Arabidopsis thaliana: one gene and its partners. The protein of the gene in region 2 interacts with the protein of the main gene of each other region in a pairwise test. Each region holds a gene or a part of one and is shown on either strand. Other genes may lie near its edges. The genes, in order: AT1G17200, AT1G48210, AT5G14210 and UMAMIT11.

The links.
Region 1: the proteins of AT1G48210 (region 2) and AT1G17200 interact in a protein complementation assay, tested with the Arabidopsis thaliana proteins (one large-scale study listed by BioGRID).
Region 3: the proteins of AT1G48210 (region 2) and AT5G14210 interact in a protein complementation assay, tested with the Arabidopsis thaliana proteins (one large-scale study listed by BioGRID).
Region 4: the proteins of AT1G48210 (region 2) and UMAMIT11 interact in a protein complementation assay, tested with the Arabidopsis thaliana proteins (one large-scale study listed by BioGRID).

What each region holds. Positions count from the first base shown.
Region 1 is NC_003070.9:5,876,495-5,881,210, forward strand, and holds AT1G17200 (Uncharacterized protein family (UPF0497)), read left to right. Parts: upstream 1-1,895; 5' UTR 1,896-1,998; coding exon 1,999-2,216; intron 2,217-2,870; exon of another isoform or gene 2,871-2,902; coding exon 2,903-3,023; intron 3,024-3,101; coding exon 3,102-3,377; 3' UTR 3,378-3,579; downstream 3,580-4,716. Other genes in the region: ILP1 (IAP-like protein 1), read right to left, coding at 4,008-4,079, 4,172-4,422, 4,513-4,716.
Region 2 is NC_003070.9:17,796,503-17,803,280, reverse strand, and holds AT1G48210 (Protein kinase superfamily protein), read right to left. Parts: upstream 4,851-6,778; 5' UTR 4,697-4,850; exon of another isoform or gene 3,866-4,696; intron 3,764-3,865; 5' UTR 3,731-3,763; coding exon 3,649-3,730; intron 3,551-3,648; coding exon 3,300-3,550; intron 3,133-3,299; coding exon 3,006-3,132; intron 2,888-3,005; coding exon 2,614-2,887; intron 2,374-2,613; coding exon 2,241-2,373; coding exon of another isoform or gene 2,175-2,240; exon of another isoform or gene 1,921-2,174; coding exon 1,834-1,920; intron 1,621-1,833; coding exon 1,483-1,620; 3' UTR 951-1,482; downstream 1-950. Other genes in the region: AT1G48220 (Protein kinase superfamily protein), read right to left, coding at 1-236, 337-418; AT1G48200 (uncharacterized protein), read left to right, coding at 5,429-5,732, 6,159-6,211; AT1G48195 (Zinc finger C-x8-C-x5-C-x3-H type family protein), read right to left, coding at 6,684-6,778.
Region 3 is NC_003076.8:4,577,186-4,584,713, reverse strand, and holds AT5G14210 (Leucine-rich repeat protein kinase family protein), read left to right. Parts: upstream 1-1,857; 5' UTR 1,858-3,339; coding exon 3,340-4,714; intron 4,715-4,803; coding exon 4,804-4,937; intron 4,938-5,021; coding exon 5,022-5,570; intron 5,571-5,674; coding exon 5,675-5,700; intron 5,701-5,777; coding exon 5,778-5,889; coding exon of another isoform or gene 5,890-5,986; coding exon 5,987-6,211; downstream 6,212-7,528. Other genes in the region: HEMG2 (Flavin containing amine oxidoreductase family), read left to right, coding at 1-44, 246-369, 459-567, 690-764, 861-967, 1,087-1,208; IMD1 (isopropylmalate dehydrogenase 1), read right to left, coding at 6,603-6,677, 6,764-6,970, 7,052-7,159, 7,249-7,365, 7,444-7,528.
Region 4 is NC_003071.7:17,062,432-17,067,986, reverse strand, and holds UMAMIT11 (nodulin MtN21 /EamA-like transporter family protein), read left to right. Parts: upstream 1-2,173; 5' UTR 2,174-2,472; coding exon 2,473-2,660; intron 2,661-2,754; coding exon 2,755-2,817; intron 2,818-2,903; coding exon 2,904-3,020; intron 3,021-3,219; coding exon 3,220-3,445; intron 3,446-3,806; coding exon 3,807-3,965; intron 3,966-4,061; coding exon 4,062-4,213; intron 4,214-4,311; coding exon 4,312-4,591; 3' UTR 4,592-4,889; downstream 4,890-5,555.

The DNA of each region.
Region 1 (4,716 bases), about 12 Mb from region 2:
TGTTTACTGTACCCTATTAAATTCGACGACATTGCACTCAATTTGAATAAACCGGATTAGCTTCAGTAAACCATCCGGTTTAATCGAAGAGTCGTTTCAGTTCACGAACCGTACATATTAATTCCGAGGACTTGTTCTTCCTGATATCAATTATATCAACATCATCTGACATGACATCTTATAACAAATGATTGATCTATTTTCAATTACAAATACAATATGTAGTTGGACTTAATATAACTAATGATTAACTTACTCTTTTTGTTGTTTATAATAGAGATATTTAATAATCTATAACAAATCAATCCAGTAATATATGGAATTCTTGTGTCTTTCATGATTTATCGTTAATTGTGGAGCTATGAATCAAATTCGAAAGAAATGTTACAATATACCTCTAGATTGAGACTGGCCACGAGACTGAGAACACTTATCTATCTTGTATTTTTATTTTTGGTTTTATATTTTTGTCAAATTTATTTTTGCTTTTATCTTACGAGGCAGTTTAAGTTTAAACATTAACAAACAAAAACAAAACAATAAAATTATGGTCAATGTAATTACACATATATATATATATGTATAATCTTGCGTAAAGATATGGTTTGATTGATCCAACACTTAAACAAAACCTTTAATATGCGTTGCTAAGCTGTCCCTTATCATAATCCCTATCAAATTCATCATTCATATTTTTTAGTTCCTCTATTATTTATTTATTTAAGGGTAAATTAGGAAAAAGTCTCCTATTAATTGACAAAGGCAATTGAATTCATAATTACGAAAGAACCTATCAACGTTATTTTCGTCGCTAATTATAGTAACCTGAATTTTTTGATGACGTTATTATGATCACGTGGAGCTCGGAGGAACTCAATAAATAATGTACAATAACTGATTTATACTTGTCTCAGTATACGGATATAAGATATTTTTCCAAAACAATGAAAGTACACGTTGCCTTGCCAGTTGCCTGCATATATATACACATCGTCTAGTAGATACCATTACAGTATATTGTTGTTGAGGTTTTATAAATTGTGTAATGATTTTGTATAAATTAAAGAAACATATCTCCAGGCATCTCATAATTACGAAATCACGTTTAACTTTATAAAATATTATTAATACCACAAGATTTGAAAGTATTTTTAACAAATCATAATTTGAATCATATGTGAAATTTTGCAGCCAAGAGCATTCATATTTGATCTACCAGAATGTCATAATGATCAAATTTCATATTTGATCCGCCAAGACCCTGAGCATTCATTTGATCCACCAAATTAAAAAGTCCTAGTGGATTATAACTTAGAATTATTTACTTTTATTAAATCAACTAATCTATGAACCACTCAACCACATACTACATTATAAGAAAGAAAACGTAAGTAGCCAAACTAATACTCTATACATTTATTATATAAGACGAAACAAGATATATCCATTCTCGACCACGACATTGGATTAGCTTAAAGTTATTTTTAGTATCCTATAAACAGTACCGTAAACGGAGCAATCTTGCAAATCATTTGCTTCAAGTTCAAAAACCTATCTAGGGTTCTCTGGTGGAGATGTGCTAACTGATTTTCTAACTTGAGTTTAGTATAGTAATTTTTGTTTTTTTTTTCGTATTTTAAGATTTGAACTGAAGGATTTAGAAAAGAAATGATTCCAATCTTGAGTATAGAGAGAGACCTTCATACGGAGTATATTACAATGAATTATAATCTAGATTGTAGTGGAGTGATCAATATTTTGCTTTTTAGCGGGGAGTTATCATTTTCGAAGGCTTTAAATGTTTTTTTTTGCTTGGGAAATGTGAGGAGTGTCATGAATATCGAAATTAAATGCATTCACCAACCCTATCGATCCAACACTTCCCTTTAGTTAATGTCACACATTAAAATCATATCCACTTGTTTATAACCACATTTTCTCTCAAAATCCATAAAAAGAGAGAGAGATAAATAAAGAGAAAACTAAAGAAGCTAGAAGATGGAGAAAAGTAATGATCATGACAAGGCTAGCCACGGCGGCTCCGGTGGTGGTGCCACGGAGAAGTGGGAGGAGACTAGCCTCGGAATCCGAACTGCCGAGACAATGCTCCGGTTAGCTCCGGTGGGCCTTTGTGTTGCAGCACTTGTTGTCATGCTTAAGGACTCTGAGACTAATGAGTTCGGTTCAATTTCTTACTCCAATCTCACAGCCTTTAGGTACGTATCTTCTCCATACACATATATTAACTGTTCATCTTCAAGATGTAGAGTTATTTCTTCTTGCATACTATTTACAATTAGGGTTTATATGTTGTGAGATGGTGTGGCGAAGTTTCACATGAAACACACAAAAAAAGTTCTAGTTTTAAGAAACTGACTGTAACTATGTGCATACATATTAGTATATTACATATGTACATGTATATTAACCTATATCTACATATTTCACCAAAATTTGTAATCAGAATCCCAATATTTTCAGAATTAATTAAATTAATTTGGATCGTTAAACCAAACAAATTGTGCTGACTATGAAGACACGTCGAGCTTTTGGCCAGTTTCTAATTTGTTATTTGGTTTACCAGATTGATTATGACCGGTTTTGTAGTTGTAAACATTATGTTATCTTTATTGAACTTCCCAAACTTTTCCTTAAAATTTTGGCCCCAAATTTTCGTTCTTCTCATGAAACAAGCGGCTCTGATGAGTTAAATACAAAATGGAGAATTTTTACTTTTGTCTAGGGCCCCAAAATGCTAGGCAAAGACACGTATTAGTCAAGCTACATTTGTTGGTTATCGAAGTTAGCATAGATAGGGTTTGATAAAGTATAGTCGAAATAAACTGTTTTTGTAAAAAAATATTGATTATCGGTAATGGTAATAATGTAATTACAAACTTAGGTACTTGGTGCACGCAAATGGAATATGTGCAGGCTACTCTCTTCTATCAGCAGCCATTGCAGCGATGCCTCGTTCTTCTTCGACAATGCCTCGTGTTTGGACCTTCTTTTGTCTCGACCAGGTCTACTATTCAAAAAATTCGGTTATAAATGATCCACTGAAGTACAAAAATTAATTTCATAATGTTTTATTGTCTCAGCTTCTGACCTACCTGGTTCTTGCTGCTGGAGCTGTATCAGCTGAGGTTCTATACTTGGCTTACAATGGAGACTCAGCCATTACTTGGAGCGATGCATGTAGCTCCTATGGCGGTTTCTGTCATAGAGCCACTGCTTCTGTTATAATCACATTCTTTGTGGTTTGTTTCTACATCGTTCTCTCTCTAATCTCCTCTTATAAGCTCTTTACTCGCTTTGATCCTCCTTCCATTGTTGACTCCGCCAAGAATCTCGAAGTCGCTGTCTTCGGAAGTTAGATCCTCCATTTGCTCTTCAAGTACATCTAGTTTGTCATGTTTCAAATGTTGTGTGTTTTTAACTTTGGTCAAGAGAAAGAATGCTTATGTGTTTGCTCTTCTTTCATTGCTTTTCTTCCTATTACGACTCGTCTAACTAATTGAAGGGTATAAACAAGAGAATCATACGGAAAAAAAACACAAGTCGAATCATACAAAATTACCGGAGCCAAATTATCCTGAACACAAGTATACAACGGTTCAAAACACACATTGTCTTGTAAATTAATTTCAAGCAAACCAAAGTTGTTAATCCAGGATTATGATAAACAGCAAAAAAAAAAGGAGGAAGATACAACAAGAGTCTATAAGATTATTAAATAACAAGATTCAGCACTATCACCTTTGTTTAGGCAGTCTTTAACTTTTACTTACTACACAAACTTTTACTTTAAATTCATAGAAACCCCAACGTTTATAGATCAGAGAGATTATAGTAACTTCTTTATTTGTACTGCAAAAAAAGGAAACCCAAGCTAAAGAGCCCTAACCAAGTGTTGTTCAAGCTTATATGCTTCACCACACCAATATATATATATTGATTTCATCTGCAATTGTACCCTTTTGTTTTTATTCGCAAGCAAATTATTCTTACTTTTTCCCATGGCTGCTGATAAAAGAGTGGCGTTTCAAGAGCTTCTGGGAAGGAGTTCGGTGATCATCCTACAAACAAAAGAGTTGAAACAAAGTTAGTGTTAGTGTCAGATCATCCTGAGAAGGAAGAAAATAAAGTAACGGATAAGTTGGTAACAAACCTTGCACAGAGATGCAGCTGATTCTGATTCCATTGTCTGGTTTTGAGGGTTTTCAAGCGACTGGAACGAATCAAGGGCATCAAGAGTTAGTTGCCACCCACAAACTGCCTCAGCAAAACCTGAAGAACCCGAGCTATTGCTGCTACATCCAGCAGCAGCCACATTTTCATTAACCCAAGGACAGTAACAGTTATGATACTTTATTGGATCAAACTCCACAATATCATCATTGCTGTCTCCGTTTTGTGGCCCTGAAAAATGAAACAGCATATATTTATTACACTTTTTATAAGTGATGAAGTTTGGATATGTTTATCAACCATAAGAAGAAATTTACAGACCTTGATCATTGGCAGTGTAACTAGATCCGGGGAGTGCAAAGCCAGCGTTGAGGGGAGACTCCCAAGTCTGGGTCACTTCTTCTTTAGATGCTTCATAACCAGAACACACTATCGCATTGCAAGACAAAGATGGATGAACACTGTCATCGTTGATCAACACATTTATGTTACTCATCTTTTCACCACTTTCAACAGATTCAGCCT
Region 2 (6,778 bases):
TTGATCTGGCTGCTTAGTAGGGTAAAGTTTCTTGATGGCAGCTTCTTTACCGCTTTTAAGAACACCGTAAAACACTCTTCCATATGAACCTTTACCGACTAATACCTCTGAACTAAAGTTCTCGGTTATATCTTCCAGTTCATCCACTGGAATGGCTGGTACAGCGATAGGCTGCATGTTAACTACTGGTTGGTTCATTGGTGGATCAGCTCTTTGATGGTGGCGTCCATTGTAACCTTTACAACGATTCAATTCCTATTAACTTACTTAGAAGCCAAAAACTGGACAATATAAGAAAAACAAAGACAAGTGGTGCAGTTGAAATATGTGAGCTACCTATTGAGTTATGTGCTTGACTTGGTCCGGTGTCAGCAGGATTACGAACATCCTCACTCCCACACCAGCCAAAACAGCTCATTATATTACACCCTTTTCTCACACGAGCTAACTTAACTGTAATAGTACAGAAGACAAAATGTGACAAAAGGTATAAAAAAAGGGTTTGATAGCACCTTAAGCTTCTATCTCCTACTTATGAAAGTGTAAGATAATATAGACAACAAACAGTTTTGAAAACAAGATTTGCCTATCTAAGACAAAGAGAAGAGAGTAAAATGGTAAGATCAATGATCTTATCTCTCTTTATTACTCAAGCAATTAAATTGTCAAACACGAACAACTGAGACATTATGTTCCCTAAACCTAGAATTTTCATAAGTCAACGAGATATAACATAGGGATACGGATTTCAAACATGAAAAGTTAGAAACAATCAACTCCTTTCTAACCCTCGAAAGGAAGATCCTTTTTGAAAAGGTTGTTTGATATTTAAGCAAAGTACCAAAAGGGAAACTCGCAACAGAGGAAGAAGAAGCATAAGGTTTACCTTTTGCTACAAGAAAAAACTAGGAAAGGAGAGAAAGAGAAAGAGAGAACTTGAAACTCTCTATTGGGAGTCGAATCTTTCATGGTTGTTTACCATTTTAGATGAGAATTTTGAAAATGTCTTAATGATCGTCAACCACTTTTTAAATAACTAGATGACCATTGTTGCCTTGTTGCTATTTTACTTGGAACAAGTCTAATATGAGTCAAATACTTAAAATACAGCTTCAGTGAATCACATTCAAATTCCCCCAGGCAGCCAAAGCACTGAAACAGAGGAGATCTCTAGATTTCTCTAGGCGCCGTCGCATCGCATAGCAACATGTATTGCAAATTCCTATGATCTGTAGCAAAAACATCATCTCAATGAAAATGTAGTATCAGAATTTAGTAATGAGTTTTCTGAATTCACAGGAAAACATAAAATATATTGATATAGAGGAGAGACATACACATGTCTTGAAAAGTGGGACTTGAGAATGAAGAGTTAATGAGATAAGGTCCCATAAATTTACACAATACAGAACCAAAATGAATAATACACATTTGATGAATCATCATGATCAGAAGATGAGATATGGGGGATTGAATATTTGATCAGTAGGGGTTCCTATGTGGAGTCTGCGGAGCAGAACGAGGAGGGTTTAAAAGAGGTTGAAGTGCCTTCACCACAATGCTCATGTTTGGTCTGAAATTTGCCTCATATTGCACACAGAGTGCAGCCACTGCAGCTAGCTGATCATTATATCACACCATATGGCAAATAAAATCAGACTCATGAAATGTTTCAATCATGTAGATGAATGCGCTTATCACTTGTTTTGTTTCGCTACGTTGGTTCTAATGTCAGCACTCACAAGATAAACTGGTCTTTTAAGTTATACACTTAAGTTAAATCTTTTACGCATTATTGAAACAATGAGAGGAAAGCAATTTTGAGATTAATACCTTGCCAACAGCTTTGGGAGGGTACTCTCCGAGTAGTCTTGCATCAACGCATTGCTTCACTTTGTCTTCACTTAGTTTAGGGGTTGCCTGAGACGACAACACACAACATCTTTATTACTGAGCAACCGTATTATCTCATTTCTAGGAAACATTTAGAGTCACATTAATCTATTCGTACAAAATTCTGGCTTTTTCCAGCGTCTTCAGTTGTTATAACATCCCAAGTTTCAATTCTATAGGCCTAATTATGGAGGGCTTTTTCTTCCAAGTTCTTTTGAGGTTTTGACCCAATTTTTGTAATTTTCAACAGACTAAATGAGTTTATTATAAATTTGGTCTTCTTAAAAGCCTCTCTTATCGATGCGGCAAACCAGAATTAGAAGCAGAGAAGATCGCACTAAACATACCCATGTCACTAGACTTTGTTGTCCACGCGGTAAGGTATGATCGACTGGTTTACGACCAGTTAGGAGCTCCAGCAGAACAACGCCAAAACTGTACACATCGCTCTTTGAGCTCAACGTTCCTGTCATTGCATATCTGAAATACATTACACAAAAAGGTGTAAGCATAGATTCGTCAAAGATGCAATAGACACATAAGGGTAATTAAAAAGTGATAAGAGGAACGAAATCCATGTGAATGAAAAAGTGACTCATAACATTAGAGCATGAGAACCAAACATTTTTGAATGAAGACATGTAACCCATGGTTTAGTCTGAATGAAAGAAACTGAAAAAAATCTTTTCAAGGTAAAGAAAATCTTGAAAAAGACGTTACTCTGGAGCGTGGTAGCCAAAGGTTCCTAGCACACGAGTTGAGTGAAGGCGAGCAGCCATGTCAGGGGCTTGATCAGACAGATCAAAATCACCAATTTTGGCAACATCATCATCAAACAGAAGTACGTTGCTGGATTTGATGTCTCGGTGGATAACCTGAGGGCTCACCTTCTCATGCAAGTACTCAAGTCCTCTGGCCGCACCAACGGCGATTTTGACTCTCTGTTGCCACGTCATAACAGGACCTCTAAGTGCTCCTTTGGCACCTTTTTTGCCTGCACCAAAGAGTCACCACGTTTCATTAGTTTCTTCCTCCTGTATCTTACTTTCTAGATAGTTAAGTATTGAGTGACTAATCCATATCTAAGCAACGGTTCACATTTAATCACTCACCATGAAGAGTATCATGAAGAGATCCTTTAGGAGCAAATTCATAAGCAAGAACACGGAGAGGGCCATCAACACAATAGCCCATAAGTGCAGTAACATTGTCATGTCGCAATCTCGAAACCATTGATATCTGTTAAAAGCTTCTACGTCAGTAACAAAACAAAAGTAGACAGAACATTCCCAAGGGAGTGGTTTGATGCTGGACTATTTGCACATAGGACATAAGAACTAGGTTAAGCTGTTTTTGGCGATATTGTACAAGATAAAAAATGCAGTGATATACTTTATAGTATCTACCTGGGAAAGAAATTCTTGATCTGGCTGCTTACTAGAGTCAAGTTTCTTGATGGCAGCTGCACCACCGCTTTTAAGAACACCATAAAACACTCTTCCATAAGAACCCTCGCCGATCAAGGTCTTTGAACCATAGTTATCAGTTATATCTCTCAGCTCATCCACTGGAATGGCTGGTACAGAAATAGGCTGCATGGGAATAACAGGCTGGTTCATGGGTGGATCAGCTCTTTGGTAGTGGCCTCCATTGTAACCTTTATAACAATTAAAAATCCCATTAACTTGGATGCCAAAGGATGGAAACTAACAGAAACACTGACAAGTAATACAGTTGAAATAGGAACTGAGCTACCTGCTGGGTTATGCGCTGGCCTTGGGCCAGTGTCAGTAGCGTTGCGAAAATCCTCACTCCCACACCAACCAAAACAGCTCATTACACCCTTCTCTCACACGAGCTAACTAAACTTCTAAAAGAGAAAAGACAAAATGTCAACAAAACAGTGGTAAGAAACAAGGTTTGAGCAGCTTCTGAAACTTATTGATAACAAAGAGATTGTTCAGACACAGACCTCTAATAAACAGTTTGCACCAAACTATAGGCATGAAGAATAGACACAGAAAAATGAACAGCTTTGCAGAGTAAGATTCTAGTATCTCCTGTTTATGAAACTATATATATAAACAAGGTAAAATACAAGCACAATAAACAGTTTTGCAAACACGATTCGGCTATCTAAGCTTAATATTACAAGGTAAAGGCACTTATGTTACCAACAAAAGCTAGCAAATAGTTTCCAAAAAGAAAAGATTGGAAGAATTTCTCTAAGATGTGCAAATGAGTAAGCTTGTGCATTTGGCTAATCATGCCGTGTGCACGAACATGAACATATTCAGACACAAATTTTCAGTAAATGGTGTTGCAAAACAAGATTTTCTCATAGTAATAACCAAAAAGAAGAAAACTTTCAGAGAACTTCACAGAGTAGTTATCAGTAAAAACAAAAATAAGAATAGTTATAAGGATAAGGTTTTTGAGCATTTACAAAAACAGAATTATGAAAAATCAAAAAAAATTCACATAAATAAAGCCAAATATCAGAAGAAGTACATAGTTCATTGTTCATCTACATGATGAACCGATCAAAATCTCAAACACCAACAACAAGAAAGAGACATTTTATGTTCCGTAGACCTAGACTTTTCACAAGTCAACGAGGTTTTAACCTAGGATACAGATTTCAAACTTGAAAAACATGAAATCAATTACGATATTCCCTTTAATCATCAAAATCAACCTGAAATTCGAAACCCTCGGTTCTTAAAAAAGGGTTTTTGACATTTAAGGAAAGTACCAAAAAGAGAAACTCGTAACAGAGGAAGAAGAAAAAGCTTTTATTTACCTTTTTCGCTTACAAGAAAAACTACGGAAGAAATTCTCTGTCCGATTCGAATTCTCTCTGTCAAGACTTCGATGGTGGTTTTAGAGACTTTAGACGACAATTTGAAAAAGTGTTAGTGTTGATGATGAATGATCGTCTTTAACACTTTTAAAACAAATATCTTAATGATCACTGTTGCGTACTTTACTTACTTGGCAAAAGTGTTGAAATACCTAAATACCCCTAACATTGTTTTAGAATTACAGTCATATCCCCAAAACAACCTTTAGTATTGGAACGGAAGCGATTTCTCTCTCGTCGCCGTCGTATCAAACCTCGCCGCCGTAGCCGTCAACGCATCTTTCATTTCGGGTGAGCCTTTCTTCGTTCTTAAACTTCGTTACTCATTCCGATTTAGCCTCCCAGATTCCTTGTTTTTCTTGCTTCAATTTCATTATTTGTTTCCTGGATTCGTTGTTTAGCTTATTGATCGATCTGATTGATCTCTAATTGTAAAATCAGCATCACCATCTCCACATAATATAGAGTATGTAGCCAAAATGACACCATTTGTTATCGATTCCAACAAAATTTGGTGATTTCATCATTTAACTAATGTTTGAATGTTCTTAGATACAACAATCTCTGTGTTCATATTCAGCTTTACCTGAGTTTGTTGTGCTCACAGTGCATGGTTTTGGTTGATAGTTGCTAATATGTATTCCTTTGACTGATGGATTTGACTACACAGGAATGGCGAACAAGATTGCAATGTTTCTCTCGGAAGCAATGAACAACAATGCTGTGATAAACACGTGTCTAGGAGTATCGTTTGTGGTTTTGGGATTGAGATCTGATAAACAGCAGAAGTATGTTGAGGCCTTAGCAGAGCAGAAGGAGTCACTCTTCAAGTCTAATAAGGCAATGAAACTCACCATGTGGGAGTGGAAACAGCAGCTCTTTGCTGAAGCTGCCTCTGCGGGTAATGCCGCGGTTGTTCCTTTGTCGACGCTTAAGGCCATCTATGGTGAAGTTACCACCACAACCAATCAATCTGGTGATTACTCTCAGCCCTCTCTTTTGCTTGTATCAGCAATTATCTGTATAGAATTGTTCTCTTAGATGTTTGTTTATTACATATCTATACAAACTAGAGTAGTCATGTTTGTCTATATGTCACTTGTAGAACAAACAAATACTTTCCCTAGATTTAACAACAGAAGAGGGCTTACTGGTTTGAGAATGTGTGGTTAGGTATCACTGTTTGATACATCAATTTACATCTGTGCAAGTACAAACTAGGCTAGATTGGTGGGGTTGATAAAGAAAACCTGACGCACGTATTGAATTCAAAGAGAAATGGGGTTAGAATCGATATGATTTAGAGTGTAACATGAAGGGAAATAGATATGAACATGATTAGAAGCCGCCTTTCGGAGATTAGCTGTGTGTTCACTAACTGGTTTTATGTTCTTTCTTCCAGGTGACACAGCCAAGGAAGATTCTAAAGTGTCCACTCCCAAGATCATGATATGAGAGGTTGTTAAATTTTTGGTAGGTTCATTTCACTTCAAATTATTCACTCGGCTAAAGTAAAGATTAGCATTTAGTCTCATCATTTGCATAAATTGCACTTGTAAACTAGTTTGGCATCTATTGTCTGTTGTTGTGATCTTTTTTTTTTGTACCTCCTGGTATGGACAAAGCTCCTAAAATAAGGTAAGACCCTCCTTTGGGTTGATTCTTAAGGCTTTCACTATGTACCATTAGTCCAAAATTTGGAGACGACAAAGCCTTGTTTGTTGGGTAAACTTGAAAAGAAAAATCCAATTTTGTTACATGAAATGAAAATTTGATACCATGGTGATTAACTTGATCCTTAGATTAATAACATCCTTTCATACATATAAAGAGTAAATAAAACATAGATATTAGAATATTATTGAAAATAAACACGAGATAAGGAATATCAGTTTCAAATTTATCATTTGCAAGTTGAGGATGATGGTTAGGTAAAATGGTCGAATTTACAAGTCGGACCGGATCTGCAAATGCCGAAGCGACTGTAATGCGGGCAAATGGCTTGACCAGGTCTTAATGGTA
Region 3 (7,528 bases), on a different chromosome or scaffold from region 2:
TTATGAAAGGAGGACAACCCTTTCAGCTAAACTTTCTCCCCGAGGTAATTGTGTCTTTTACAACTCAGAAGTTTATGTTTGAGAGTAGTAGGCCTACATCTAGATGTGGTCCAGTATTACTCCAAATACTGATAATGAACCTTAATGTGACATCAAAGAACTACCTTGCATGATTAGTTATCTTTTATATGTACTATTTATCCCAAGTTAATTGCATATCGATGTTGATCTTGTTCTTTTCTCAGATTAATTACATGCCCCTCTCGGTTTTAATCACCACATTCACAAAGGAGAAAGTAAAGAGACCTCTTGAAGGCTTTGGGGTACTCATTCCATCTAAGGAGCAAAAGCATGGTTTCAAAACTCTAGGTAACTTGTTGGTGTGGCCTTAACTCAAACAAATAGCCCTATACTTTTCCTTCTATATTTATCAATACTTCATACTCCTCTATACGCAGGTACACTTTTTTCATCAATGATGTTTCCAGATCGTTCCCCTAGTGACGTTCATCTATATACAACTTTTATTGGTGGGAGTAGGAACCAGGAACTAGCCAAAGCTTCCACGTAAGTGAAATTTGACTGCTTACGAAAAGCTACAAAGAATCGAGGCATTTATACCATTTTTCTAGTTTCCTACTTTACCCAATTCTGACTACTTTTTTTTCTTTCTGGTTTAATCTTCGTAGTGACGAATTAAAACAAGTTGTGACTTCTGACCTTCAGCGACTGTTGGGGGTTGAAGGTGAACCCGTGTCTGTCAAGTATGTGAACTTTGGAGATTTTTTTGATTTGATCGTTTTAGTGTACGAAAGAGAAGATTACCACCCTTATAGATAAACAATATATGTTATCTGCAGCCATTACTATTGGAGGAAAGCATTCCCGTTGTATGACAGCAGCTATGACTCAGTCATGGAAGCAATTGACAAGATGGAGAATGATCTACCTGGGTTCTTCTATGCAGGTAACTTCAATTTAAAGTTTCAGTCTTATATGATCCATGATGATGAATGTAGTCAGTATATGGCCTCGAGACGATTCATTGCAGTTATTTATCTATTGTGCACGGACCAAAATAAACAGGTAATCATCGAGGGGGGCTCTCTGTTGGGAAATCAATAGCATCAGGTTGCAAAGCAGCTGACCTTGTGATCTCATACCTGGAGTCTTGCTCAAATGACAAGAAACCAAATGACAGCTTATAACATTGTCAAGGTTCGTCCCTTTTTATCACTTACTTTGTAAACTTGTAAAATGCAACAAGCCGCCGTGCGATTAGCCAACAACTCAGCAAAACCCAGATTCTCATAAGGCTCACTAATTCCAGAATAAACTATTTATGTATTGTTTGGTCTGTTTTCTTGTTGCATCACTGGTATGGTCTGTCTAGGTAGAAGAATATGATAGGGTGAGGGATTTTAGGATTGAAGAATCTTTAAAACAAATTGCTGATATTGTCTTATCTTGAAGATATCATTTCTGCTCTCTAGACAAGTTGGAGAGAAACTTGTTTGGTTTCTGGTGGGAAGGGGATGTTGATGTTTTAATTGTTTTTTCTCCAAAGCCACAACCATAAGATGGTCCCAAAAAGGTTGTCCTAATGTTAGATGTTAGTATCTGAATGCCCGTTTCTGTTCGTCCCACATGCTCTCCCGGTTCCAATTTCGTGGAGTCTTATGTTATGTCTTATCATTCTCCTATAAAGCGTTATCTGTCTTAACCCATAATGTCTTGTTAAGTCTCTTTTTGATACCAAAGCAGAATCAGTAATAGAGCTTGCATTGTTCTCTAGTCCTTTTGTTCCTTTTTGTGGTATGCTTAATAATGATGGTTACATATCTTTTATGTTTATATTAGTTTTATAATTTTAATGGTAAATCATAAGTTATAACACTAACAGTATTGAAACATCATATTGGCTATGAAATATACTAGGTTTTAGTAACATCCTGAAAATGCTAACGAAAGTATTAGCCAAATTTTAAAGCATCAATTGTGATTACACTCACGATTGTCAATTTAAAAAAAACAAAATGTTTGTTAAACCTTTTTTTTTTTTGTGCACCAACAATAACAATTTTGTTAAACAACAGTGAAGAAACATTTTAATGTTCATACTTCATATACTGTATAAAAAAAATTGACGCATGTGAGACCAAAAAAAGAAGTTAATTAATACGATGGTCCGGTCTTTGAGAGTAGAACAGACCTGTGGGACATGTACTGTATTGTGGGCCTTAAAACTTTAGCAAAGCATAATCACCACCTTTGTCTCTAAGTAATTGACCTACTTGCCCTCTTTATGCCACAAGTCTATTGGCATGTGTCTCAAAAAACTATATGCTACAATCTAAACATTGTGGATTCGTGTTTTAGATGGTTTGATAAAACTATCTTATTAGAAATGCTATTATATGGTTGGGAATGATATAATTATTTATTGCCATATTTTGTCCTTCAACGAAAGCTACTTCTACCGGACAATGTTTCGTATTCGTAGAGCAAAAGCTTCCTTTTGTCATTTGGTTGTCATTTGGTATCGTAGAAGGGCAGTTTGGTGAATTAACAAGACATGGAATCTAATCACACACAAAAATCAATGTTTAAATCTTATAAACAAAGTGGGGAAGAAGAGACATGTGTTAACGGCATCTTCTATGAGTCAACTAAAGTCACAAAGCATACACTAATAAACAAGTATCATCAAATCAGTAATCATGCTTTATCTATACCAAATTTAAAATCAAATTTCATTTGTTTTCTCATTATCTTACAGAAAAAGAGATTTCCAGACAATTGGTCATAAAAAGGAACAACCTTTCATCAAATTGAGTGCACATTTTTTGCTTTATGATTGTTTTTCGTGACCCACATTCTAAATTTACTGTTTCTTTCATAAAGAGAAGAAGAAGAAGAAAAAAGATTCTCAGATAAATTACTGAAGCTGCCATTAATGCTGCTCAACTCTTTTGTCATTAATGCTCTTATCATCTTCTTCTCTAGCTTCCCTAGTTTCTTTCTCGTCTATGTGTTGAATCCGACAAACAGACTCACAAGAATACCGACATTCTCCTCCACGATTTCTGCATTTGTCCTCACTCTCTCTTATTCTTCTTTTGCTTTTTGTTTCCTGACCTCTTTCTCAGGGATTTTGATTATAAACCAATTCAGTTCCTTGGAGTTTGCTCCATAGGAGCGTCTGGGATCACGAGCTTGGTTTGACTTGAGTTGACTAGAAAACACCTAGATGGGTCTCTTTCATTTTCCTCTCAGAATCCAAGTCTGCTTCTAGTTCTAGGGTTCTGTTTCAATTCATCTTTGTTTTCTTTTCCTGCAATGGAACAATTAAAGGTTTTACCTTTGCTCTTTCTTTCATGGGTTATGTTCTTACAAAGCACTCATCAACTGCCGAACTCTCAGACTCAGGTCCTGTATCAGCTCAGGAAGCATCTGGAATTCCCTAAAGCTCTGGAATCTTGGGGAAATTACTATGGAGACTTATGTCAAATCCCTGCAACTGCTCACATGAGCATCACCTGTCAAGGTAATTCCATCACGGAGCTTAAAGTCATGGGGGACAAGCTTTTTAAACCATTTGGTATGTTTGATGGGTCTTCACTTCCAAATCACACTCTGTCTGAAGCATTCATAATTGATTCTTTTGTTACCACATTGACAAGGCTTACAAGCTTGAGGGTTCTTAGCTTAGTGTCTCTAGGTATCTATGGTGAGTTCCCAGGGAAAATCCATCGGTTGAATTCTCTTGAGTACTTGGATTTGAGTTCAAATTTTCTGTTTGGCTCTGTCCCTCCTGATATTTCCAGATTGGTTATGCTTCAAAGTCTGATGCTTGATGGAAATTACTTCAACGGTAGTGTTCCAGACACGTTGGATTCCTTGACCAATCTTACTGTTCTTAGTTTAAAGAACAATCGGTTCAAAGGTCCATTTCCTTCTTCAATTTGCAGAATTGGAAGACTAACAAATCTTGCTCTATCACACAATGAGATTTCTGGTAAATTGCCTGATCTCAGCAAGTTAAGTCATCTGCATATGCTGGATCTGAGAGAAAACCACTTGGATTCTGAACTACCTGTCATGCCTATAAGATTAGTTACTGTTCTCCTGAGCAAGAACTCCTTCTCAGGCGAAATTCCAAGACGTTTTGGCGGTTTGTCTCAGCTTCAGCATCTTGACTTGTCGTTCAATCATCTGACTGGAACTCCATCTCGGTTCTTGTTCTCTTTGCCAAACATTAGTTACTTGGATTTGGCATCTAACAAGCTCAGTGGGAAGCTACCTCTTAATCTGACCTGTGGAGGCAAACTCGGATTTGTGGATTTGTCGAATAACAGATTGATTGGGACTCCTCCCCGTTGCTTGGCAGGAGCTTCCGGCGAGCGAGTTGTTAAACTTGGTGGAAACTGCTTGTCCATAATTGGCAGTCATGATCAGCATCAAGAATTCTTATGCGAAGAGGCTGAAACTGAGGGAAAACAGTTCCAAGGAAGAAAGGTTGGGATTTTGATTGCTGTCATTGGTGGAGCTGTTCTTGTTCTTGTGTTTTTTGTATTAGTTATCCTCCTCCTGTTATGCACAAACCGCTGCTCTAGCTGTTGTTCAAGAGAAAAGTCAGTGCCGCAAACTCGGCTTAAGGTTGTGACAGATAACTCACACACCAGTCTCTCCTCTGAAGTTCTTGCTAGTGCAAGTGAGTAACTTTTGACTCAAAATGTAGACTATTCCTGCTAGGAATTGTCTTTCAGGGATTTAATATCCTTGTATGATTTCGTCTTGCAGGGTTAATCTCTCAAACAGCAAAGCTAGGTGCACAGGGTGTGCCCTCATGCCGGTCCTTTTCTTTTGAAGATTTAAAGGAAGCCACAGACGATTTTGATTCATCACGTTTCTTAGGTGAAGGCTCCCTTGGAAAGGTATGGTTTGTCTTCTGCAAGATTAATTCTTGTGATCTGCCTATCTGTCATTTGCTTTACTCTGCTTGTTTTGATCCTTTGCAGCTATACAGAGGAACACTGGAAAATGGAAGTTCCATAGCTATCAGATGTCTGGTTTTATCAAGGAAATTCTCCAGCCAGAGTATCAGAGGTCACTTAGACTGGATGGCAAAGCTCAACCATCCTCATCTCCTTGGCTTCTTGGGCCATTGTACGCAAACCAGCGGAGAACACGATCCTGTTGCAACCATACTCTACCTTGTATACGAGTATATGCCCAACGGGAGCTATCGCACACATCTATCAGGTCAGTCGTTTGGCATTTGTAGTAAACTAAATGTTATACTGAATCTCTCTGTACTTGGAAAATCGTTGTTGTTAGAATATTGTTTATTTGTAGAATCTTTCTCGGAGAAGATCCTGACATGGCCAGATCGGCTAGCAATTCTGATTGAGATAGCAAAGGCAGTTCATTTTCTTCACACCGGTGTAATGCCTGGTTCATTCAACAATCAGCTTAAGACTAACAATATTTTGCTTGACGAACACAAGATTGCAAAGCTCAGTGACTATGGAGTCTCTGCCATCATTGAAGAGAACGAAAAGCTTGAGGTTTGCTCTATTTACTCTCTTTCACTGTGTTTATCTTCATTTTGTATGATCTTCTTTGACACTAACTCAGGACTCTACTTTACTCCTGCTTCTACATTTTGCAGACAAAGTCAGAAACCCACAAGTCAAAGTATGCATCTTTTGTCCTTGTATAGCAAAACTCCATGGCATTTATGAGAATCTAATCCAAACTTTGAGATTATGCAGGAAAAAGGCTAAAAGAGAGGACGATGTGTACAACTTCGGATTCATACTTCTGGAATCTCTGATAGGACCAGTGCCCACTACAAAAGGAGAGGCTTTTCTTCTCAACGAAATGGTAACAAAGAGAAAAAGCAAAAAAAAAAAGCATCATCATTGTTATTTGATTGAAACAAATTTGGTTAATAGCTGTTGCTGCAATGTTGTGTTTGCAGACATCATTTGGGAGCCAAGACGGTCGGCAGAAAATAGTAAGTCCAACAGTCCTAACAACAAGCTCGCAGGAGTCTTTATCGATTGCGATCTCAATCGCCAATAAATGTGTTTTGCTTGAACCTTCCGCAAGACCTTCCTTTGAAGATGTTCTCTGGAACTTACAATACGCAGCTCAAATGCAGTCTGCCGCAGACGCTGAACGCAAATCTGATACGTCGTCGTGAATCCAAAGGCTAACCTAATGATTGATAGTTTTTTCGGTTTTCTAAATGTAAAGCTCTATAAGTTTGGTTTTCAGTATAAAAATGTAAGACTCTTGAGACTAAAAATCATAGTAGCTTGTCTTCTCTTGAAACTTATTTCGTTAAACAAATATTGATTGAAGAAGATATTGAGTCTTGTAGTTGAAGAGAAATTCTCAATCTTCAAGAACAAGGTAAGTAAAGGCAGGAGACCTGTCAAATGTTTTTGGAGAATCTTGTCTTTGAATTGCAGAATCGATCCCAAATAATTTATTTATTATAAAAGGTACAATGTTGCATGGATTAGCATATAAGTGACCGTAAAACCAAGTGCTACACAAACTTTTTCAAGTGCTTCAAATCATCAATAAACTTAAACAGTAGCTGGAACTTTGGATTCCACTGATTTGAGAACCTCCTCACCCATTTCCTTGCATCCCACCAGTTTCTGCATTTTCAAAACACAAAAGACTTTTTTAAGTATTTTGTTACGAACTTGTACAAAACAAATGATAAGAATCATCATGCACATACATTTCCAGGGGAGTAGATGTCTCCGGTTCTGAACCCTTTGTTCAGAGCATCCACGACAGCGTCTTCAATCCTCTTTGCAGCCTTTTCTTCTCCAAGTCCATACTTCAGAAGCATCGCCGCGCTGAGAATGGTGGCCAATGGGTTTGCCTTGTCTTGTCCAGCTATATCTGGTGCTGAACCATGTATAGGTTCAAAGAGTCCAGGTCCCTGATTTCATCACAAGTTTAACATTTCGCATTAGTTTATAAACAGGAGGAGCCTTGAAAGATGTTAGTTAATTTTGTTTACCGATTCACCGAGACTAGCAGATGGAAGCATTCCAATGCTTCCAGTGATCATTGAAGCTTCATCAGACAATATATCACCAAAAATGTTATTGGTAACGATTGTGTCAAACTGCATTGTTTTAAAAACACCGTGAGTACTAGTTCCACTTCTGAGTTAGCTTAATCAACGACTAAGTTTGATATATGTGCGAGAAGCACCTGTTTCGGGTCACGAATAAGCTGCATTGCAGCATTATCGACATACATATGTGATAGTTCAACATCTGGATATTCAGAGGCTAAAGCTGTTACTCTTTTCCTCCACAATATTGATGCCTACATGAAACAAAGAAATTTGCATTTCGTAAAACACACAAAAGTGGAAAAACAATTCAGTGAACTAACAGAACGTACATCCAACACATTGGCTTTGTCAACAGAACAAAGTTTGCCACGCCTTTTCCTAGCAGTCTCGAATGCTACACGAGCAATTCTGTCA
Region 4 (5,555 bases), on a different chromosome or scaffold from region 2:
CATCTGTTTTTTTTTTTTTTTAATTTGAAAGTTTTACACCCAATGGTGCTAATTTTAGTAGCCACATACATAACTATAATATTAAAATGTGCAAGAGATCATTACATAATTGGAACGAAATTTTGATCATGAAACATATGGTTTACACTAATACACGAATAGAAATCCTATTATGATGAGTTCATGCATGATACAGTGGTTGGTATACTTCACTATAAATTTATATGATCTTGAACTCGAATATAACATAGAATGATCATATATATATATATATATATATATATATATGAAGACATTCCAATATTGTTACTATTGTTAAATAATCAACATCATATCATTTGTACAACACTAGTCAGTTGGTTCAATCATAATACTTCTAAAGTACTTATGTTTTTATACATGCAGACGAGTGAGCGTGAGACATTTCCTCTATTTGGATAAGTATATTGAATTATTAATTATTAACATAATGGATAGTTTAAATTTCAAAAAAATAACAAAAAAAATAATGATGGATAGACTAGAACCTCCAATTAAAACAATGCAAATCAAGATGTTGAACCGATCGAACCATCAAACTTTTTCGGATTGCATAATAAAATAATTCGTCTTTGTTCTCATTCTCACCGTGCATATACATATCAACAAAGTCATGCGACCTAATATAATACAGTTGAATCTATCTAATTTTTTTAAAAAAAATTAAGATACGAATTCCACACAAACCTTCTCCAACTAAGTAAAGTAGCCACTATTGTCACTTAAAGTGACATTAATGCATATTCTATAAAAGATAATGGATGCCCAACTAAACATAAGTGAAGTATTTGGGATATATAATAAAACAAAAGAATCCAATGAGTTATGCTATGTGGTTAGCTTTTGTTCACGAATTTATATATTGTATAATATATGAGGTTTACATTTCGGATAAGCAATTCTAGGCAGATCGATGATATGTACGCAAACATGTATAGATGTATTCAAGAATTGAGTATATAATTGCTTATCCGAAATGTAAACAACAGGTATGAACATATATAATTAAGTGCCCAAAACAGAACATATATTCAAGATTTTCTTGTACTAATAATATTCTTTTTTTTGGTAAGGTGTTCTAATAATATTCTGATTAGATTAACTTTTAACCATATATAACTCATAATTATTTTGTTACGTAACTCTAAAAATATCTGGGGTTTTATTTCTTTGTGAAGAGATCGATAACAGACAAGACATGTAACACATATTTTGTCCACCTTAAATTTCTAAACATGAAATGTAGTTTTGAGATATTGGCCGGTCCCAATGTACGTAGGATTGAACCCAATTGATTATTGCTGCCACGTGGAACTCAATCTGTCCACTTATGCTTCTTCATTGATTTAACCTCTTATTAAAGATCGATGATTTATGACCATGAATGTAGTAATTAGGATAGAGGTGGACATACGTCAGATTCCACACGTATATAACCCCATATTAGCATTACAATGAGTTAATCTTTTTGCAGAGGTCGGTCGATTTGTCAAATTTCTACTATACATTAACCAAAAGATATTCTACTATATATTAAATAAAGCAATTAGCTTATGATGGTGATGAGTCATGAGACCACATATATCGAAAACCACGGTAGACTAACAATCGCAACAATTTTTCTGTGGCTTTCAAGTTTCTTTTAATCTTTTAACAATACGCTAATCCGATCCGGCTAATTTTAGTTCAGTTTGGATTTTGTGATTTTATAGACAAGTCCACAGTTTAAAAAAAAAAAAAACCATGTTTAAAGCCAATTGCATGAATAAAATAATTTACATGCATGTTAGAATTACGTTTTAGTGTCCATATGTACTTATTAGTTTTTTTGTTTTTTTTGCAACTACAACATATACTAATGTTGTTGTTTTTTGTGCAACTAAAACATATACTACTATAAACATGTAAATTTTGATTGTTAAGAAATGAGGTGATGTTAATTAATCACTTGTTCCACACTGATCACACTTTTAACCTCGACTTTTAGTAGCCACAAGTTTTATTTAAAATCCTAATATGATTGGTTTCACGAAGTCATATAAACAGAATATATATATGTAGAATGTTTTATCCACTTACTTTAGAGATAATGAATTCATGACACCCAATTCTTATGCCGAATCAAACCGGAATAATTAACGCTAACGTCACCGAAAAAAAATAAAATAAAAATAACAAAAATACAAAGGAAGAAATCAGAGAACACTGAACATATCCGAATAATATGCTATATATACAAAGAACCTCTCACCACTTGGTTCTCAGGAAAAAGCACATTCTCCAAGTGTTTCTCTCCTCTCTTTTCCTAACTCAGTTTTCTTATATACATAACACTAATTTGACAATTTTTTTGTCCTCGAGGATCCTAAAATAACTCCAAAACTTTGATTGGTTTTTCTTGCTCTAAAACAAAAACAAAAACAAAATATTAAGATGGGATTAAGGATGTCAGAATCAGCTAAACCTTATTTTGCAATGGTCTGTCTTCAGTTCGGATACGCAGGTATGAACTTAGTAACTAAAACCGTCCTAGACCGCGGTATGAGCCATTACGTTCTTGTTGCATACCGCAACGCTTTTGCCACAGCCGCTATCGCACCCTTCGCTCTTCTCTCCGAAAGGTACATATTTCTTCTAAAGAAATCGATTCTCGCAAGACTTAGATTTTTTTTTTTTTTTGGTAGTAATAATTATGTATTGGGGATTTTTTTGTAGGAAAGTGAGATCAAAGATGACGTTTCCAATATTCATGCGAATATTTCTTCTTGCTCTTCTCGGGTTAGTCTTCTAACAGAACCGTTGATATCAAGAAGATTTTGTAATAATTACGATTAAGGCTAACATGGAAGGTTTAATTTGAACAGGCCGGTGATTGATCAGAACTTATACTATATCGGTCTAAAACTCACATCACCAACGTTTTCCTCCGCCGTTAGCAACATCGTGCCTGCAATTACCATTATCCTTGCCACACTTTTCAGGTAACATACAAAAAGCAACTTTTTTATTATTTACATTTATTCATTTAACCAAAGAAAAAGATACGTTTTATTATATTTTGGTACGTGGATATGCACCAATTCAAAAGTAGATGTATAGTAGTACAATTAGTGTATGACGATCGATGTCATAAATTATGAATATTGATGTGTGTGTTTTATGTAAATATTTGTTTTAAAGGATGGAGAAAGTGGAGATGAGAAAAGTAAGATGCCTGGTAAAAGTGATGGGGACGTTAGTGACAGTGGTTGGATCCATATTGATGATATTCTACAAAGGTCCTTTCATTAATTTCTTCCGGTCTCACCTCACGGCCGCCTCTTCGCCGCCGACGGCTGACTATCTTAAGGCTGCCGTCTTCCTACTCCTCGCTTCCCTCTCATGGGCGTCGTTCTTTGTTCTTCAGGTATGTATCAATTATATATTGATCCTGTGTATAATATAACTCACTTCTTACATCACTAAAAAACGTATAATATAGTTTTTAGGATTAGTTTTAAATTTCCATCAACATAGGAAAATATAGTTTATGCACCAAACCATGTAGGGGATACGTAAAAGTAATATAAAAAATTTGAAATTTTAGATATAGTATTAATAATGTTACTGGGATGTTGTTTCTAATTTTTCATGTTATATAATTTTTAAAAAAATAATTGGGTTAACTATATCTAAAATAATAATATGATTGGAATTTTTTTTCACTGTTTTCGTAATATATAAAAATATAGATTTAACGAATTAGGCTTTTATATTTTGTTAAATAGGCTGCGACTTTGAAGAAATACTCAGCCCATCTCTCAATGTCAACAATGGTGTGTTTCATGGGAACGTTACAGTCTTTAGCCCTAGCCTTCGTAATGGAACACAATCCTTCTGCTTTGAACATCGGTTTTGACATGAACCTTCTCGCTTCTGCCTACGCGGTTCGTCCTTTATTTCATCATGCCACTTTCACAAATAACAAAAAGATCAGTTTACAAAAATATTGATACTAACATTGTGATTGGTAACGGTTACAGGGAATAATGTCGTCGAGCATAGCTTACTACGTTCAAGGACTTATGATGCAGCGAAAAGGACCGGTCTTTGTCACTGCTTTTAACCCTCTTATCGTTGTCATTGTCTCCATCATGAGCTTCTTCGTTCTCGGTCAAGGAATCTACCTTGGAGGGTACGTTAACAACAACCGGTTAATTATGATATATTCCCGGTTTAGTCTTGGCTCTGTCTTGTTAATTAATCAAACCGAAATTTGTTTTCTTTTTTCAGGGTTATTGGAGTGGTTGTTTTGATGGTGGGAGTCTACGCCGTGTTATGGGGCAAACATGTAGATGATGACGGCGAAGAAACACGCCATGAAGATAACGTTGTAGCCGTTAAGTGTTGTAGTGGCAATAATGGTCTAACGATAATGCCGAAAATCGACGAAGCTGATGAGGAGGATGTTGAAACCGGAAAGGCTACGTCGGAGAAGGAGTCGTCAGTTCCGGAAGTGGTGGTGGTAGTTTTTTGTAGTGAAAATGTGCATAGCGTTTCACGACCTAACTAGATGGGTTTTCAATTTTTTTTTTACTTTTTGTTAGAAGCAAAATTGGGGAGAAGAGTAACTTCTTTTTTTGATACTTGTAAGTTTGAATTCCTTTTCCCGTGCTTCAAAAGTTTTATATTTTATTTATAGTTTTGATTTCTTATTGTAACTAAGGGATTCGATTTTGATCGTTGACTAGCTATACAATCCCGTGTAATCACTACATTTGGTATTGGTACGCATCTGTTACATACCATTTTTACGGCGGTTTTAGTGAACTATATTATAAAAAAAAATCGTAAGTTTTTTTGTGTGTGTGTTAACAATGTACTCACTACTCACTGTTCCATATTTTTGATGTACGTATATCGAAAACATTCTGCCAACAAATGCAAACATAACAAAAGTCAAAAACAATAACATAACCGGGAATTAAACCAAAATGTAATTGCTTTTTATTAGTGTCAGGCCTTCTGCTTAAAAATATTCTCGGCCCAGAGCCCATTAACACCTATCTCAATTCATATTGAAGAAAATGACTATATTACTTGACAAAAACTTTAGTCAGAAAAATATGGAATCTCTTTCGGTACTGCTAAGTGCTAACCTTAAATAGTATAGAATTCTTAGTTCATTCTCAAAAACATAGCTATATGTAGATTATAAAAGTTCGATATTATTTCCTGCAAAAGATGTTATAATGTTACAACTTACAAGAAAATGATGTATATGTAGATTTTATAAACTGGTACCGTAATTCATAAAAGATGGTGGTGGGTATGTATCAGTAACGGAACTTACATATGCGTGTGTATTACTATGTCTATATGGTGTATTCCTTTGTGTGGAACAATGCACGTCAGAGTTGTTTATTTTCTTATAGAATTTAAGGAATCAATTATTGGATTTCTCAAGGTGAAAGTGGACTTCTTTGCACGCAAGGTCTAGTTGCCGACTTGCCGTTGCATGTAACATGATTGTTGAA